Styela clava: one gene and its partner. The protein of the gene in region 2 purifies or fractionates together with the protein of the main gene of each other region. This does not show direct contact. Links are inferred from orthologs where the notes say so. Each region holds a gene or a part of one and is shown on either strand. Other genes may lie near its edges.

Region 1 (8,863 bases), on a different chromosome or scaffold from region 2:
CGTCGGGGTCATCCTCGTCTCCTTCAAGATCTTCTGCGGTGAATCCATCGTTCACGGAATCCAATAATTCTGATAAAGTCACTCTGGAGTTACCAGCATCGCCATTGCCAAGCTCATCGATCTCGAAGGCATCTGAATGAAAAACATAAGTGACAGCATAAGTGACATAAAAAATAATTCAAGGTATCATGACTGTATCTTTTAAGGAGATTTCTCAACTCGAAAGTCATGCGCACTCACTTCAAAACAGTGGTTCTCAAACTTTTTTATTTTATTTTTATTTTTAATTAGCTTGTCTACATCCCACCCCCCTTGTGGGGCGCACCCCACCGTTTGAGAACCACTGCTCTACAAGGAACAGTTTGAGGATTGACAATGAGTCTATCACATATTGTAGTCTGACCTAGGCAATTATTCGAAGCCAGTAAACACAGATTTTTTAACAAAGCAAGTCCACGCACACATATATGAAAAAAGAGAAAAAATTCTTTTATGACTGAAATTACAGTTGGTCACTGGAGTGCCAAGCGCTACTGAAACTATAAAAAATTATGGTGATGCATGATGCTCACAAAATACTCAATCCCTAGGTAGCGCTAGACAAAAATTTACTATCAAATACCTTCGTCATCTTCATCCTCCCATCCATCATCATCATTCCCGTTTCCAACTCCCGTCTCTGTAGCTTCTCCAAGATCTATTGCATGACCTAACTCGGCAATAAGAATTTTTAATAATTTCAATGGCAGAGGTATAGACGTCCATTTTTCTGGTTCTTTTTTAGCTCGAGATCTCGTCCTAACTGTTGGGGTGTCAGTGAATATTTGATCTCCTTTAACCATAATTTCATTCATGCGAGTGTCATTCGTCGCTACTACGTGTTTGAAAAGTTCTGCTAAAGCTAAAATGCAAACTTTTGTGTCATAATGTCCGTAGAAAAGATTCTGTTTATCGCACCATTCAGTCATTACAAACTCAAGAGCTGTATTGCCTTTCGGGCCTGGAACTTTCGATAAAAACTCGAGTGTCGGAACAAGTTCATGCTTGAATAAATACGCAAAAATTATTAATAATGACTGCGTAACAGTAAGGGTTTTTGCTTGCTGAAGTTTACTGAGAACGGCACGAAGTAGCTGGTCTAGAACTTCTTGTAACTGTGACCCACATTCTCGTATCATGACTCCGACCAAACGACCAACAAATGCAGCAGAATGTTCAGATAGCTGAGGATCTAAGAGATGAGAAGCGACACGCAAAACGTAATGCCAGCCTGAGATGCCTTCTTGGTCTGTCCAGGAGATAACTTGACTCGGTGAGCGAGAAACAAAAGCTCTAATGCAGTCACCGCCATTTTGAATCACAGAATTATCATCCGAACTTGTAACAGAATTCACAACTACTGGAAACAAATTTTTAACAAGTAAATCTGAAAATGGGGGATCCGTGTTACGAATGATAACAGTTAATAATTCCAGTGATATCCCGACCAAATTTGCTGATATTTTAGCCGGCGGTCCGGTGAAAATATTCGCCAATGCGGGTGCGATGTGATCCACGAGGCTGCCGTTACATTTCTTATTGGCCGAGAGAACTTCAAGGACATCAGAACACAAAGACACGATAAATGGATCATTATTGTGACGTAAAAATTGATTGAAAGTTAGTGACGTAATTTGGGGCTCGTATTTAGCCGTAACATCATCATTAACTTTGAGAACAATTCCGATAGCTTCTAAAACTAGAGCTAAAGTTTCAACACTCGCTTGCATTGCAAGTTGGACTAATCCTTCCAAGAGGCTTGCACAATAGGGACTGAGTTTCTCTGTTTGGCCAATCTGCTCCAAATGATCGCAATAATTGCAAGCGGCTCGGACTGCTGAAATCCTAATAGATGGGGGTTGGTTGTCTTTTAACCCATGGACTGTGTATTCAAGAAATTGAGTTAGCATATCTGGTTGCAGCATACAAGTAAATCGGCTTGCAACCCATATAGCACGTCCTACAAGGAAAGGGAACTCAGAAGCTTTTATACTGGGCAGCACGATGCTAGTAATAAATAAATTGACATCAAAATTTGCATTTCCTGCCTCAATTGTTCGTGACACAAGAGATTCCACAGATCCCAATGCAAGCATTAATGCCTCGTAAGATTTCCACCAGCAAGGATGACTCGAAATTCGAGCTTCGTTAGCGAGACGTACATGACGATCCACAGCTTTTATCAAATTTATTGCACTCTCGCTTTGAAACTCTCTACAGCAGGTAAGAAACAAATCTTGAGCAGAAATACGGACGCTGTATGAAAACGTTTCATCATCTTCGTCTTGAACAAATTGGTCAGGGTTTTCAGACCAAATAGAAATCTGTTCTTCTGTAACTTGCATGTATAATATTAAATGATAGATTAAATCTTCGAGAGATTGCTTTACAATTCCACGACAAGACTTCAATTCTAACATACATTCGATGAATTCAAACGTACAGTATACTAAGCTTTCAAAACCTGTTCCTTCACCGTCCGAGTCCACAGCATCGTCATGGCCTTCTACAGACATTACTTCCTTTTTCACATACATTTCAGCACAATTTGTGAATGTCCCCCACACAGCAGGCAATATTTCTGCTATCACATGTTTTATCTCCTTTTCAAAGCCACGAAGCAAAATCGTGAGAGTTTTCATCACTTCTTTCTTTAATCCTGGATCAGAAACCTCACTGTTAGAGATCTTGAGGACTTTTACATAAGCTTGTAAAAAGTTTGGCAGAAATTGACTAACGTTAACACGTAGTGGGTCCTTAGCATTTCCAATTTCACTTGCAAACGAGGCGCATGTGTTAAAAATTGAAACCGCACGACTTCGTACTCTTATGTTGTATAAATCAGTCTCTGTAAATATTTTATAAATTTGTGGCAATAAAACTGGGACAACTGAATTCATATGAGTGTCTGTTACGTCTCGGATAAATTCAGTCAGAACCCGCATCGCACCATGCACTGCATTAGGGTCTTGTGAGGTTAAAGCTTGCATTAATGATTCGAATAATCCAGGCCAGTTCTCAGGCCAATCCCAACCAGCAATAGCAGAAATAGCATATGCAATTGACGTCCTGATTTTCCTCTGCGGATCAGCAAGTCCAATTGGCAACATCTGTCGAATTGCAATCTTTGCGTTTTCACTTGCTTCCGGCGGAGAAAATTTCTCAGAAATAGAACTCCAATGAGTGTCGACATATTGTTTCAATATAAGCGACGCTAACTGTCGTAATGACAAATCAAAGCTTTGATCGACTGTTATTTTCGCAAGATGAACGCAAAAATCTTCTGTTACTTCTAATATTTTGATTTCCTGTTCCGCGGCTCGACGAATATTAGGATCAGGGTTCATTGTTGCTGACAACGTCGATAAGATTTGTTCCGCCATGTTTTTATCGGACTGTGCCATGATGAAGATATATCGAATTCAGAAGAATTGAGACACATATATACAGTGTTATACTAATATATATAAATTGATTTTCATTTAGCACCTATAACATTGCTTTCTAAAAAATAATTGTAAGAATTATATTCTAGTAATTAGTAACCAAGCTCTGAAGTTCCAAAGTCATCAAGCTAATACTGGTACCGGTAGCAGGGTGGCATCAAAATATTTTTTCATCTCCGAGGGGTGTTTAGAGGGTGGTTATAGCGCTTTTATTCTGGACCACACTCTTATTACGGTACTTGGTATTATACACAAATGCCTATCGTATAACTGTATAATAAATACTGAAATGCTGAAGTTTCATCATTTGGAAATATTACAAAGAAAATGCTGATAATTTCTAATCATAGTTTAAAGCAATATCTGGCTTTTACAAATTTGGCTTTCTGGCTTTTACAAATTTGGTGTTTTTGGTTTAACCGGGAAGTTGGACTGAGTGAATGCAAGTGCTGAGGTGACATCTGAACTCATTAATTAGACTCAAGATTTATACGAACTCTGACTCGAAATGGCGACTGGAGTGTTTATGAACTTGTAGTCTACTGTCTGACTGTCATTACAAACCATTAACAACTGCTATTACCGGTACCGAATGTACAGAATGTAAGGCTGTAAGGGGCGCAAGCCCGCAGTGCTACCGGCAGACCGGCTGGACCGGTATAAGTAATGCAGTTACAGAGTTAAGCTTAAGATAACGAACGTCCCATCCTGTCACATATTGTTTAAGATGCTAACTAATTGCTCGAGTCACAGGATAAAAACGCACTCGAAGGCAACTGTTATGCTGAAAATCAATTCATAAATCCATATCAAACTCCCTAAAATCAGCGTTAACGACGACCGCGAGAATGGCGCGAATATGTAGTGGTGTTTCATTTACCATTCCTGAGGTCAGAGGTTAAAAGGATAGGATAGGATTTACATATTTATCCCGGGGGAGAGGAAAGCCGATAAGACAGCTTGATCATATGGCGAACCACGGCCTCTCGCCCGGTTACCAGTCCAGGTCGGGTATGGGATTCGTTAGCCAGTTATTTTTGTTTTCGGAAGCATGGACTTGATGGTGGAGGAACCGACCAGCGGTTACGTGAACCACCCTACGGCGGCGAGTAGTTCAGCAATCTTCTCGCACATGATCATCCCCGCATGGGATTCGAACCTGCGAAGCCACGAAGGGTAATCAGAGATGCGGTGGCGAGCGTATTTCTAAGGCTTAGCACGATGCGCCACACCACCGAGCCACAACAATTTGTACGAGCCTTCATTGATATTATTTTAAAAAGACCAAAATTTTTTTGGGTCGACATTACCTACCTAATATCACAGCCTATAGATAAAATTTGAATCAAGGATCATCGATGTTCTATGGAAGCATGGTCACGTCAAACGCTCAAATAACCGGTCGCCATGTTATTTATCGTCAAGTTCGACGCATTACGGCATCGTCCAATGGACCTTTCCCCGAGCATCGACTTCCTTGTTTACTTCGTGACATTGGCCAATCAGCAAGATGCAAAACGTGACGTAACAATGCCACCTTTCGCATCTGCTTAGACACTTTTCTCACTCAGACAGATTTTCAAGCGTGGTTGTAAACATTACCTCGTTTTTGCGTTTTTGAACTCTATTCGTTAGTTTTCAGTTGTGTTTCGGAAACTTAAATATAAATCAGATAATTCAATGATCACTCTTTCTTCCTAGGAGTTTTAATTTAGATGCAGTAACAAAATTTAGTGTAGAAATAGCTGTGATAGATTAGCCTGAAATTCTTTACCGGTAGTTTTAAAAAAGAGATTGTTGTATGCAATGAATCATAATGATCATTTGAAACATATACCCCATTTTACAGGCGCCAACTCGGAAAAGCACTTTAAAATAGCCCCGAAAATTTTGCAATGGTGAAGTATAGGAAGAATTTTTCGGGGGTCAAAGGTCGGGGAAAGGCCCATCGAATACACTTTTAGAATATTTACAGTGAATTTGTTTTACTTCTCAAGTATTTGAACTCAAACAAGCAACAAAGAGTCAAGTCACTCAAAAATATGAATCAACGTGTACTCCTCTGCCAGGCGATTGATTACGAAATTTGTGCGTAAGCTTCGACTCTTTGTTTTCTTCATTGAAAGAAGCGTTTCGTATCTATCACGGAGTAGAAAACATGAAAAACGGTTTAATCATAAAGGGAACCACGTCCATGCATCAGTAACCAATAACAGATTGACTATAACCATACCTGACATGAACTGGGGATCGGACGAGCAACAGTGGCTAGGGGTGGTTTTTGTGAGGGTTACATATTTATCCCGAGGGAGGGGAGAACCGATAAGAAGGCTCAATGATATGGCTAACCACGGCCTCTCGTCCGGTTACAAGCCTATGTCGGATTAGTTATTTGTTTTCGGAAACATGGACCTGATGGTAGAGCACGCCATAATCGACCAGCGGTTACTTGAACCTCTGAGATAGGATCAAGCAATCTCATCGACTTCTCTATTCCTCGGGATAAATGTGAAATTCCCAACCATAGTGTGTCGTCAGCCCAAAAATGGGGGAAATCGGCAGTCGACCAGCGGTGTCGCAGAGTACACATAAAGGAATCGGATTATTTTTTCGCAAAAACAAAACTCACTGGATATTCGGCAAAGCCAACAGAGTGACCGCAGACCGGAATTGTCACAACTCATAAGTGATTTAAGGTATCAGCAATCTTAATGGTAGTCATTCCGGCGACTGTTACAAAGCGACTCCCTTCGAAAATAGGCCTCTTTGCGCTCGGAAACTGCTCCAAAGTGGGCAAATTGCAATCCACCAGGCAACGGCCTTAAGATAATTGACGTCCTCGAACATTTCACGAGTGCAATAATAATTCCACATTTGAACAACACACACATATTCCAAATATTTAGCATACATGGCCCTATATATAGAATCTAATAGGCCACTTCCTAAATTCAAAACGCAGTAGCTACAAAATGGTTGTATTTTTATTATTTCTGGCATACAAATGATGATCATGCAAAACACACTGATGACATTGTTGAACAATGGAACAGTAAACACACACTGTGACATCACATAGACTCCCTGGGACTACACAATTTGTTAAATCAGTGAGGGTGATCTGGTCTTCTTTGTCTAAAAGTAAAAATATACATTATTCTGAAATAAAAAGTGCAAAAGAATGGCATGGTTGAATAATGAAAAGGGGTCTTATTTCACCGAAAACACTCACAACATATTTCCTTAAACCTTGAAAATAGCTTCACATAAATCAATTTTGAGTGTTTCACATCAACTAGACATATACATATAGAACGGAATTAGGAGAGGGAATTCGAACATCTTGAAATTTTGAATATTTTATTTTATAAGAAAATGATTCTTATATCCTTAATTTTAATCAAGAAAAGTTAAAAGAAATATAATTTTTCTGCAAAAAAAGCACAATATTTTGAAAAAAAAATTGTAATTACTGAATTCATGGAAACTTTTATTTTTTGAACGTTTCAGCTTGGTTTCTAGTGTTTTTTGATGGTTTTTCACTGTTTTTGAATGTTTTAGCAAGGCTCTAGGGTTTTTTTGGCGTTTTTTTTACTGTTTTTTAACGTTTTAGCATGGTTTCTAGTGTTTTTCAAAAACTTCATTTTTCTAGCAGCATTACTTTTGAATATCTTAAATTTAACGAAGTGAATTTTTAAACAACAAAAATTTTTTCCATAATTTTTATTCTAATTCGAGTCACAAGGACACTAACACCCCCCACGATGAGAAAAAGCCAGAAGCAACCACCTATGGTCAAGACACAGCTCATTTATTTCTTCCTTCCATCGCTTTTGCTTTTTATACCTATCACATAACTTAATAATAATAATTCATCTCAAACAAATTACCTCGGAGCAGCCCTTATGATGTCATCAACTCTGAGAATCATTTCTGCGGCCTCCGAAGCGCTCATCAGCACTTGTCGTTTCACTTGGAAGGATTCAGTGATGCCAAGTTCTTTCATGTCACCAACAGTTCCCTGGTTCATGTCTGGAATGGAACAGTAATGTCAAAAACAAGGAGTAAATAGTATTTTGATAATAAAGTTCGCTATTGAAATCTGAATGCAATAATATTTTGCAGGAGTACTTCAACTGAAGTGTAATAGATGACCAATATGTCCCCCCCCCCCCCCTTTGAAAATTTTGGAAGATTGAAATAGTCACCAATAATGCATGCGCTTGCATTCTACCGAAACAAAAATGATGTTATGCTATATTACATTATACATCGAAAAAGTTGCCCTTTCTAACGGACCCGAAATCATGACGACTATATTAGAAGAAAATGGGGATTTCTGATTTTGAAACCCCCCCCCTTTTTTTTGGAAATTCCTGGTTTAGATTATACTCTACTCCGTTAGTATGAACCAAAGATCTAAGTGTGTAAACCTTTCAAACTTCTATCATCTCTGCGCTCATTTTGCATTCAGCAGATGTCTTACAACCTTGCTTTGGGCCAACTTCAACAAACTACGATAACAGATCAATTGGCAGCAAATTTTGAAACAAATATCGGAGATATCAGATACAAATTGGCATTTGTAAATTCATGGAAGATATAAAATGATTAAAATTCCAGAACGTTTTTAAAATATATTCAGTGCAACAACAATTTGGTTTAGGATTCATATTTATAAATGTATTTTTTGAAAATGGCAGCTCTTTGCAGTTTTAATATCAGATTTTATGGACAAGTGGGCCAAGCTTTTATCTGCAACCGTAGACAACCCATGATATCTCGGCTTGGATAGGCTCTGCGTTGTGGCGCAACGTGCTGGGTGTTCGAAACATGCTCGACACCGCTCTTCTTATTACCCTGCATGGGTTCACAAGTCCCATGCGAGGATAGTTATGTGCAAGAGGATTACTAGACTCCTCGCCGCCTTAGGGTGGTTCACGTAACCGCTAGTCGGTTACGACTTCCTACACTATCAAGTCCGTGCATCTGAAACAAATTACTGGCTAAGCCCATACCTGACTTGGACTTGTAACTAGACAAGAGAGCGTGGTTTGACATATGATTAAGTCATCTTATCGTCTATCTTCTTCTCCGGGATGAATATGTAAACCCTATCCTATCTAGTGTTATTAAAATGTCTGATATTTAGTAAATTCCACAACTACCTACTAGCACCTACCAAGCCCTGCATGCTTCTTTCCAGATGTATGATCTGCTCTTAGTTGTGAAACAAGCTCAGCACTGTCATATCCTGCATTGTCAGCTATGATCATTGGAATCTGAAAGATTAGTAAAAAGCTGAATGTTAATCTAATCAAAAAATGTTCATGTGTGTTAAAAACTACTTGATTCAAGAGCCTTTCTGCAGACTAACA
Region 2 (9,672 bases):
AATATTTGGTTAGGTTTAAAAATTTTTTAATATGTTATATGACTGTTCGGGGACTGGTCAAGTGACTCCTGTAATATTTGTACCTGAAATTATAGCCTAACCCTAACCTGGGACACATACTACAATCCGGTGTCCGCCATCTTGGTTCACATACTACAGGAGTACCTTGCTTTTTTTACTACTCACCAGATGCATGGGCCAGAGTGAAATTCTGCAAGTTTTGGGTTCCAGTATCGGAGGCCGATGGAGTATCCGGTGTCAATTGTAGTTGCCGACGCCTTTTCATTCTTTTGTATTCATCAAATATATTCTTCAAAATCGCCTCTGAAAATTGAATGTAAAATTTTAATGTGATATCTAATATATCTGCTTAGAATTTTGAGACAAATTATATTAATACCAAAAAGAATGAGGTATCATTTCGTTCAATTGTATTTCAACTTGAGATGTTAACGAATCGAACATTTGAAGTCTCTCCTCATCCAAAATTAAAGAACTGATTGAAATCAGGAATGGACAAAACTGAATGTTTACTATTTCCAATACGAATTAAATCTTCTAATACATTCTAAATTTATTATATTCAATATCATAAATTTTGAATTTAGGAATAATTTAGAACATTTCAATTTAAAAATTGGGGATTCTAAGCTGCCCGACAGGCAGATCAAAACGGTCGATGAACTGGTAAAAAAACAGTTATGTAATCTTTCAAAAAAACTTGATCCCAATTAAAAACATATTTGATGTTCCACATTCGAGACATTTTCTTAGAATGTATATAGTGAAATACTCAGATTTGTCCATCCCCGATTTCAATTCCTTTTCTAATCTTCGATGAGAAGCAACAAGACATCTCAATAATAAAGCGATATGGGATCCATTACAAGTCTTCAATTAGTTTTTTTCCATATAGAGAGGAGCTATTACATCTAGGAAAAATAGGGATCTTTCTGCTTCAGCATTGCGAACCCAAGTTGTTACTAGGGCTGGGCATTTTCATATACCTGATGATTTCGGAATCAAATCGAATGTCAAATAATTGGAAGATAAATAAATTAATACAAATGGTGTAGGGACAAAGTGACTTTATTAATGCAATGGGTCCTCCAGACTAGGGGTGCACAACGCAGGGCATGTGTGCCCAATGTGGCATGGCATGATTTTGAATGTGGCACATGATCGGTTTGGTAAAGAGTAACATGTTATTTATAATAAAGAAACTAAATATACCTTATATTGAAATAAACTTAATACATTGCCTTCAATACCGCCAATAGGATATTAATAGTTCGAGTTGATAGTTTTTTATTATTAATATGTGTTTTAAGTTTGTTTACAATACCAACAGCAACAATTATTCGAACTTGGAATGACACACAAGATTATTTTGAAAACTATGGCACACATTCTTATTTGAGTTGTGCGTCCCCACTTTAGACACATAGAAAACATAGAATTCGTCACTCAGTCAGGGTGCTGAATGTTCACACACAATAACAAACATGTTTTATCAATTTTTGTCTAAACCAATTCAAATAATTTTCCATTAAATTCAAATTCCCCAGCCCGAGTTGTATATAGAAGGGGTTGGTGTTGGTGTTATCCAAATACAGGGAGTCCTCGGGTTACGACAGTCGCGACGCGACTTACGCTGTTTCGAAGTTACGAACGCGCACTCCATAACGCTGTTTCGAGGTTACAGACGCACTCCATAAAAATATAAAAGGTAATACTGTACTGTAATATCAAAGCCCTTAAACTGGATCATTATGATCAAGAAAATCAGTGCTTTGGGCTCATTGGTTTTCGTCATTTACATCGTACTTTTTGCATTATTTGTACATTTTATTACTGTACCATACTTTACAATACAGTACATTATGTATAGAGTAATTTATGTAGGCTATAATGTTCCGACTTAAACTGAAATTCGGGTTACACTGCGTCTCAAGAATGGAACAACGTCGTAAGTCGACGACTCGCTGTACAGAGTAATTGTATCAAACTTACTAAAATATAATAAACATGTCATATATTACCTGACGAAATTGGGTGCATTGGCTTGAACGGAGACGGATTTAAAGAAGACGAAGACTGAGAAGGAGATCCTGATGACATTCGACATTCTGCGTTCGAGAAAACTGATCCGCAACGAGGAGATAATCGACGACGCTTGCTAGGTGGTGTTCTTGCAACAATTGGGGCATGACTTGGGGAGGTTGATACCACAGTGTGCAAAGGATCAAAGTCCAAACTTCTTTTTAAAGTCGCCCCGCAAGCCATCGATATTCTGAAAAATACATTACATGTATGATACTAAACAACAGATTTCAGATAATTTATTTTGAAAACTCCATAATACACACAAATTAAAAACGGAGGAATTTCGGTGAGCGAGCAAAACTTTTAAAAAGGGTTTAATTAAAACATGAGAAATATAATGTGCCCGCCCACCAGTACAAATACAAGAAAAAATTACAGAAACATAAAGCTGGTTAAATGTGGCTAAAACAAGAAACAGAGAAACAAAAGATACGCGAATGTAATAACTTTTTGGGCTTTTGTATTTTTAGAAAACTTTTCAAACTTGGCTGTGGAGTTGGAAAGAAAATGAGTCAGATTCTGAGCCATTTCAAATATGAATCTAACTACAGAATCCGGATTGAAAAAATTTTGAACTTTTTTGATTATAGATTCGAAGTTTAAGAATAATTCTGAGTTTAAATTCGGGAAAGTCAATATTAAACATATGTTTCAATATGGAATTGTATGTAAATATAAATCTTCTGTTGAGAATGCTCGGTCATGTTTCTGTGAGATCATCATTTCAAGTCCTGAACCTTGAAATTCTGACAAATCAAAAAAATTCCGATTCTGGTTTCTGGGTTTCAATACCTACAGACATGAATACTATTTTATTGCTGTAATACAGTATTACAGTTTGGTTTATTGTCGTATCGTATGGAACTGTAGTACCGGTATCGTACCATTTCATAAATATAATTATTTTCTAATTAATTAAGCATTCTTCTCGAATCCTTAAAAAAGTACGGTACCGGTATGAAAGCAGACAATCACAAACAAAATTTCTGAATTCAGAGTAAACTAACAGACTAGTGAGTTATCCTAATCTAAACTTGTAAAATACCTTGAAATCTCAATTATCCACCAACCCAAACACTTATTTCTTGGTACCGTAATAATGGCTGAATACAGTCAGACAGTGGCCTACCGGTGGCGGTACCGGTACCGTGTCGTTACAACAATACGATATACCGGTACCTACTTTCACGGCCGGACGTAAATCATTTCTACACAACAAAAATAAATTATAAACTCACCACCCTCCCGCAGCTTGTTATTTCGCGTAAATGTCTTCTGGGATTATTTCTTCAATATTTTACTTCAAGAACTGGTAAGAAAACACAAAGTCACTAACACAGAAGAACGAAGAAAGAAAAGCTCGCCAGGGAACGAAATTAAAATTGGCCACATGTGGGCGCTAGGTGTTTTTCAAAATTCATTTAACCGTGACCCAAATAACTCGCCCGCTACCCGGAATAGTGTATGTTTCATATTTGGAGATTTTTCATATTTATCCCGGGGTGAGGAAGAGCCGGTAAAACGGCTCAATCATAGAGCGAACCACGGCCCCTCGTCCAGTCATCAGTCCATGTAGGATATGGGTTTAATTAGTCAGTTTTTCGTTCAATATGCATGGACTTGAATAGAGAGGACTTGCACGGGTCACGTGACTTTGTTTACTGGTCGGCATAAAAACAAAAACGTCCATTTGGCTCCTGTCAGTTGTAAGTCGGATTATACGTTTCGTTTTGTTTAGGTGTTGAAATTGGTTATTTCGTATTGTTCCGTTGGCTGTACGTATATTGGAATTCCTTTCAAATGGAAGATATGATGATGATAAAATATTTTACAGTGTTATTGTTCCAGTGAAAATGGGTATAGGCGGCTTTTTTGAAGTGTGGTAGGTCTAGTCGAAAGACACATTAAATGTTTATGCTAACAACTGCAAAGTGATATTGCAACGCATACAAGTTAACAAATTTGTTGAAATGGTCCTGCCTTTTTCCTTTCTTTAAAATCCCCCTTTTCTAGCTATTCTTTTTCTCTCTGGAGATGGCGAAAATTCAAATATTGATGGGACATAAGCAGCTGATAATGGGTTATCTTTCCTTTTTCTTGAAAAGAAATTAAACACTAATCATCATTTGACAGTGTCAAGTTAGTGTATCAGATCAGTAATAGTTTACCTGCTAATTAACGAAACAATCAGACAATCATGGGGAGGATTGCAAGGTGCAACATCGTACGATTACCATTGTATGTCGGGATTAGTTAGCCAGTTATTTGTTTTCAGAAGCATGGACTTGATGGTGAAGGATGTCGTAATCGACCAGCGGTCGTGTGAACCACCCTCATTGGGAGGAGAGCTGCAATCCTCATTGCACATAACCATCCCCGCATGGGATTGGAACCTGTGAAATTACCAGGGTGATCAAAGATGCGGTTGTGAGCGTATTCCTAGATGGCGAATTCAATTGATTTTTGGGTATTTTTGCATAAGCACTGCCGTTAAACTTTAGTTATTTATTCAACTATTAACACTTACTAATAGATTACCTGCTAACTAGGGAAACAATAACTTATGGCAGTGTTTCCCAACCTTTTTTGGTCGCGGACTATTTTCTCACCGGCAAAACCCTTTGCCGACTCACTGTGAGTTTATTGCAACCGTATACTATGTGTGAACAGGCATTGAAACCGAACACAACAAAAATTTAACGAATTTCAACAATGACCTTTTCTTTCGCACAATATTCAATACATGACAACGGCGAGAATTTAAGATGAATTCCTATTTTAACTTAATTGTGTTCATGATAATTCGCGGTTGCGTTAAATTACGACAAGATGAAAGCATTACTTCTCTAAAATTCAATTGCAATCTGTGAACATAATAATGTGAGAATATATTGTCCGATTATACTTAGTTTTGAAGCATATTTCTTGCGATCTTGCGAGTTCGTTATCGCCGTTAGAAAAATCCTACTATCTGCTATAAATTTTTAGAAAGTACAACTTGATTTAGTACTTCTTAAAAATTTATTTGAAGTATATTAGTAAATCAAAAATACATGTTCATCGCCATGGTTTATTATTAATTTTATTGTGGTCATTTTAATCTGCGGTTGTGTTGACGAAATAAAAGCAATAGTACTCAGAAAATATGATGACAATCCGTGAACACTAAAATGCGTGGTAAAGTACCCAATTATATTTTGTTTTGATTCGTATTTTTGTGAATTCGTCAAATCTGAGCTGTTCGTACAACACCTACGGCAGTACTGTACGTACCAATGTAGAGGCAGTAAAGCAAAGAATCCTAAGGGAAAATGCCCTGGTACGGTAGCATCCAAAATTTCGCGATTTGCAATGTCTAAAAAGCGTTTTTAATCGGGCGCGGACCATCATAAAACAAAAATTATGGTGTTCTTCGTTTTATTTTTGGTATTTTGTATTGCCGCTTTTCTATTTAGAAAATTTGGGTTGCCACCATTGACACCAACCAGAAAAAAAAATATTCCTCGTTGTGAGAACTCGCAAGAAACACCACTTAGGTATTTATCGAAGCGTGTGCAGATTCGTGTTTTCGTCGGAAATCCGCAAGTGAGTTGTGAAATCCGGTTCCATTACATTTAAAACCACGTACATTTGAACCCACGACATATGCACCTGCATACTATTGCACCTATGGAAATTTTGTTTTTGTTTTACGGATATTTGAATCCATGGGTTTTAGAACTCGCATATAGACTTAACCCGCAGATATACACATGGGTTTAAATGTACGTGGGTTCAAATGCACGGTCACCGTAAAATCCAATCGTCAGATTGAGCGCAAGTGACCTATCGCGTCACCAGTTACCAAATTTTCGAATAGTAAATTGCTATTCTAATAGTTGAATATTCGAATATATGCCCAGATATACTCAGTAACCAATAATTATTGACTCGATTGATGTTATGTTACTAAACTTGCTTTTGATGTTTTATGTAAATTCTAGCGTAAATCGCAACGTGGCTAAATTTCTCGGTCGATGCGGACTCATTCAAACGCTCAGGGTTGGGAAACACTGCCTTATGGCAATTGATGATTAATTCCTCACACAAGGCAAGTCTACGCCTAGGCCTACCAATAACAGTAGTTTGTCATCTGCTTTCCACTGGAGTGAAGGAGTTTATGAATATTTAAAGAAATTGATAACAGTACATTATCACTCACCATCAACGAAGTGCTGTCCGTAAACAGTGAAACACAAGCGAGATGACTTCTGGACTTGACACCAAGCAGTCCTGCCAATAGATGATATCCACATTGCGCGACGTTCCGGATCTTTTGAAAACACTGGAATATAACTGAAGATCCATTTCGTTGTCAATACCAGTGGTTCCCAAACTTTTTGTATCGTCGCCCCCAAACAGTAGTTTATACATCGCATACATACATACAAGTCCATCGACCCCCCATACCCCCCCCCCCCCCCCACCACTGTGAAAAAAATGTAAAGTCTGGAACGAAAATATTACAGACCGAATAACGAGACAAATCATAGTTTATAGTATTTTTTAATGAGATGGATGAGCTTGGTGTTCTTCAGCGAGTTTTTTATAATATCTAAAATTACCCTGTTTACTGATGGAAAGGCGATTTCGTTGTTTTGATAGCAATAGTAGCACAGCTGAAAACCCCTCATCATATTAGCGGTCGGAAATGAAAGAATCTAGGGTTCTACCTCCTCAAAAAAACGCCATGTACTCTTGCTTTATAGCATTTAACTCTCTAAATTCACCCCATTTTTCATTTAGGATTGCTAATCTTTTGCGGGTCGCATATATTTTTTGAAGTTAAAAAACGGAACATCGGGCAAAAACCGCGACAATTCGTGAACTCAACTCAGTCGTCTTATTAAAAAATTATTACAATGACATTTAATGTGACACTGTCTTGTTGCTGCATCACGCTTGATAGCTTTACGACGCCAAGATTGGAAGATTTTCTAAATGGGCATCACTAATCCTAGTTCTAGCTTGTTCTTTGTAATGTTCGTTTTCGAAAATAATTGTTCGCACACATATGTACTTCCAAACATCGAAATGAATGTTATCGCATGGTTTGTCAAATTTTGATACAGATTTTCTTTAAGAAGATACACTCTTACAAAAATTAAGCAGTGATGAATCCCTCAAATAGAATATGAATATTATTTCTTATTGCATTGCAATATACTCTAATATTTACTGCGCAATTGAACCCCTGCACTCAGCATCAACTTTTCTGCGTGTTTCCTATTATCTAATTATAATTGAATTGTAGGCTCGTTAAACGAGAAGCTGTTTAATAAAATTTTGAGGATATAATAAAATTTTGTCTAAACGTGCCTCACGATAGATTCTGTTATATAAAAAAAATGTAATTTACTCCTCGAGCGTAGATTGTAAATAAAATTAATTCATCGCCAAAACCGCCGTTTGGATGTTTCCCCGGGCATAGACTTCCTTGTTTACTTCGTGACATTGGCCATTCAGAAAGATGCAAAAATAAACGTAACAATGCCCCTTTTTGCATCCGCTCTGACACATTTCTCACTCAGACAGATTTTCAGGCGTGGTCGTGAAAATTAACTCATTTTGTCGTTTATGAATTATATTCGTTAGTTTTTAGTTGTTTTTCGGAAATATAAATAAAATAAGCCAATGATCACTTTGTCTCCCCAGAAGTTTCAGTTTATTTACAGTAGGCAAAAATTTGGTGTAGAAATATCTTTGATAGACTAGGCTAAAATTCTTGACTGGTACTTTCAAAAAACAGATTTACTTCGGCTGCCGTATTTTGGCGACCACTGGGATACCGAAACGACCGTATCTTACTGCGTAGACGAGTCCAGCAATCCTTTCGCGTGTGATAATCGCCTACGTGATTCAAACACACGAAAGCACGCAGAGTACAGTAATCAAGTGCACGATGCGACGAACAAAGACAGGTTTCTAGAAATCGCCCCTTCGGCTTTTTCGCCCCCCTCTGTAGCGTTATCGCCCACCGTGGGGCGATATCGCCCACTTTGGGGATCACTGGTCTATACTATACGTACAGCCAACGGAACAATACGAAATAACCATTTTCAACAGCCAAACAAAACGGAAACTTATAATCCGACTTGCAATTGACAGGAGCCAAATGGACGTTGTTTTTTTTTGCCGTCCAGTAAACAAAGTCACGTGACCAGTGCAAGTCCTCTATATTAACAATGTTAAAGGAGAGAGAAGTTTTCTCTCGTTTGTCTCCGTCTAAATTATGACTGAATTGTAACGTCAAGTGTTATTATTTGTGTATAACTGCGACAAACTATTCACTTTTTAAACCATTTAGTCTTACTCTAATTTAGATCCAAACAACTTTTTTTGTGTTTTGTGATTGTTCATCTGGCTCTTTTGGTATTTCATGCTTTTGAAATAAATACCTATTCTATCAGGCCGTAAGACGTGTGGTTTACCAGTTTGTTTATGTCTATAGCAGGGGCGTAGCCAAATGGGGGGGTTCTGAATTTTTTTACCAAGTTACATCGAAACTGCTAGCGGATCCGATCGAACGCTGGAATACGCGTGTTTTTAGTAGGGCAGGGCATTTTCGAATACCTGATGATTTCAGAATCGAATCGAATATTTTTTTCGAATCGAATCTCAAATACTTGGGATATATATAATTGTATGTAACTTTCCTATTGTATTGGGTGTTCCAGACACATAAATTACTGGAAACATCACTCAGACAGATTGCTGAGTGTTCACACACCATGAAAAAACACGTTTTCGTCAATAACTCACTACAGAAAAGAGTCTCATGTCAGGATTCCGTTGAAAAAATATGGCTCCAATAAAAAAAAAATTGAGAAATTTATCTCGATAATTGGCAGAAAGGAAAAAAACAAGATGGCGGCGATTCGAAATTTCGTTCTGAACCGATTCGAATAATTTACTATTCGATTCGAATATTCGATTCAAAATGCCCAGCCCTAGTTTTTAGTAGTCCTGGGGGTCTAAAAAGCATTCCAAGCTACGGAAAATTGCTATCTATGATAAAGAAAAATGATTTCAAAAGTGGGGGGAGGGGGTATTTCGACCCGTAAAATCATAGGGCTGTAGAGCTATATGCCAGGGGGTGGAATAAAAAATCGTTTAAATTAGGATAGAATAGGTTTGGCTACATATTAATCCCGGGGAGAGGAAACCCGATAAGACGGCTTAAGCATATGACAAACCACGGCGTATCGTCCGTTTACCAGTTCATGTCGGGTATGGGATTATTTAGCCATCTATTTGTTTCGGTACTCCTGAAGTATGCACACCAAGATGTCGCACAACCTGAACCCTAACCTGGTACACAACCTGAGTTCTGGTTGTGCACCATCTTGGTGCGTATACTTCAGGAGGTCTTTGTTTCATATGCATGGTCTTCATGTTGGGGGAAACCGTAACCGACGTGAACCACCTTACGGCGGCGAGAATTCCAGCAATACTCTCGCACATAATTAGCCCCCACGGGTATCAAAACTGTGAACCCACGCTCGCCACCGCACCTCTGATTACTCT

Evidence for each region.
Region 1: the proteins of akirin-2-like (region 2) and importin-9-like purify together in Homo sapiens (affinity purification with mass spectrometry; 3 studies listed by BioGRID and IntAct, counting the BioPlex papers as one, with this or other methods). This does not show direct contact. The link is inferred for Styela clava from reciprocal best matches to the Homo sapiens genes AKIRIN2 and IPO9.

Annotation. Positions count from the first base shown.
Region 1 is NC_135255.1:22,593,677-22,602,539, forward strand, and holds the start of importin-9-like, read right to left. Parts: upstream 3,543-8,863; 5' UTR 3,444-3,542; coding exon 623-3,443; intron 133-622; coding exon 1-132. Other genes in the region: T-complex protein 1 subunit beta-like, read right to left, coding at 6,593-6,620, 7,376-7,517, 8,668-8,767. UniProt on the Homo sapiens protein: Nuclear transport receptor that mediates nuclear import of proteins, such as histones, proteasome and actin. Serves as receptor for nuclear localization signals (NLS) in cargo substrates.
Region 2 is NC_135250.1:29,924,616-29,934,287, forward strand, and holds the start of akirin-2-like, read right to left. Parts: upstream 3,504-9,672; 5' UTR 3,345-3,503; intron 3,174-3,344; exon of another isoform or gene 3,152-3,173; intron 2,294-3,151; 5' UTR 2,287-2,293; coding exon 2,043-2,286; intron 325-2,042; coding exon 187-324; intron 1-186. UniProt on the Homo sapiens protein: Molecular adapter that acts as a bridge between a variety of multiprotein complexes, and which is involved in embryonic development, immunity, myogenesis and brain development.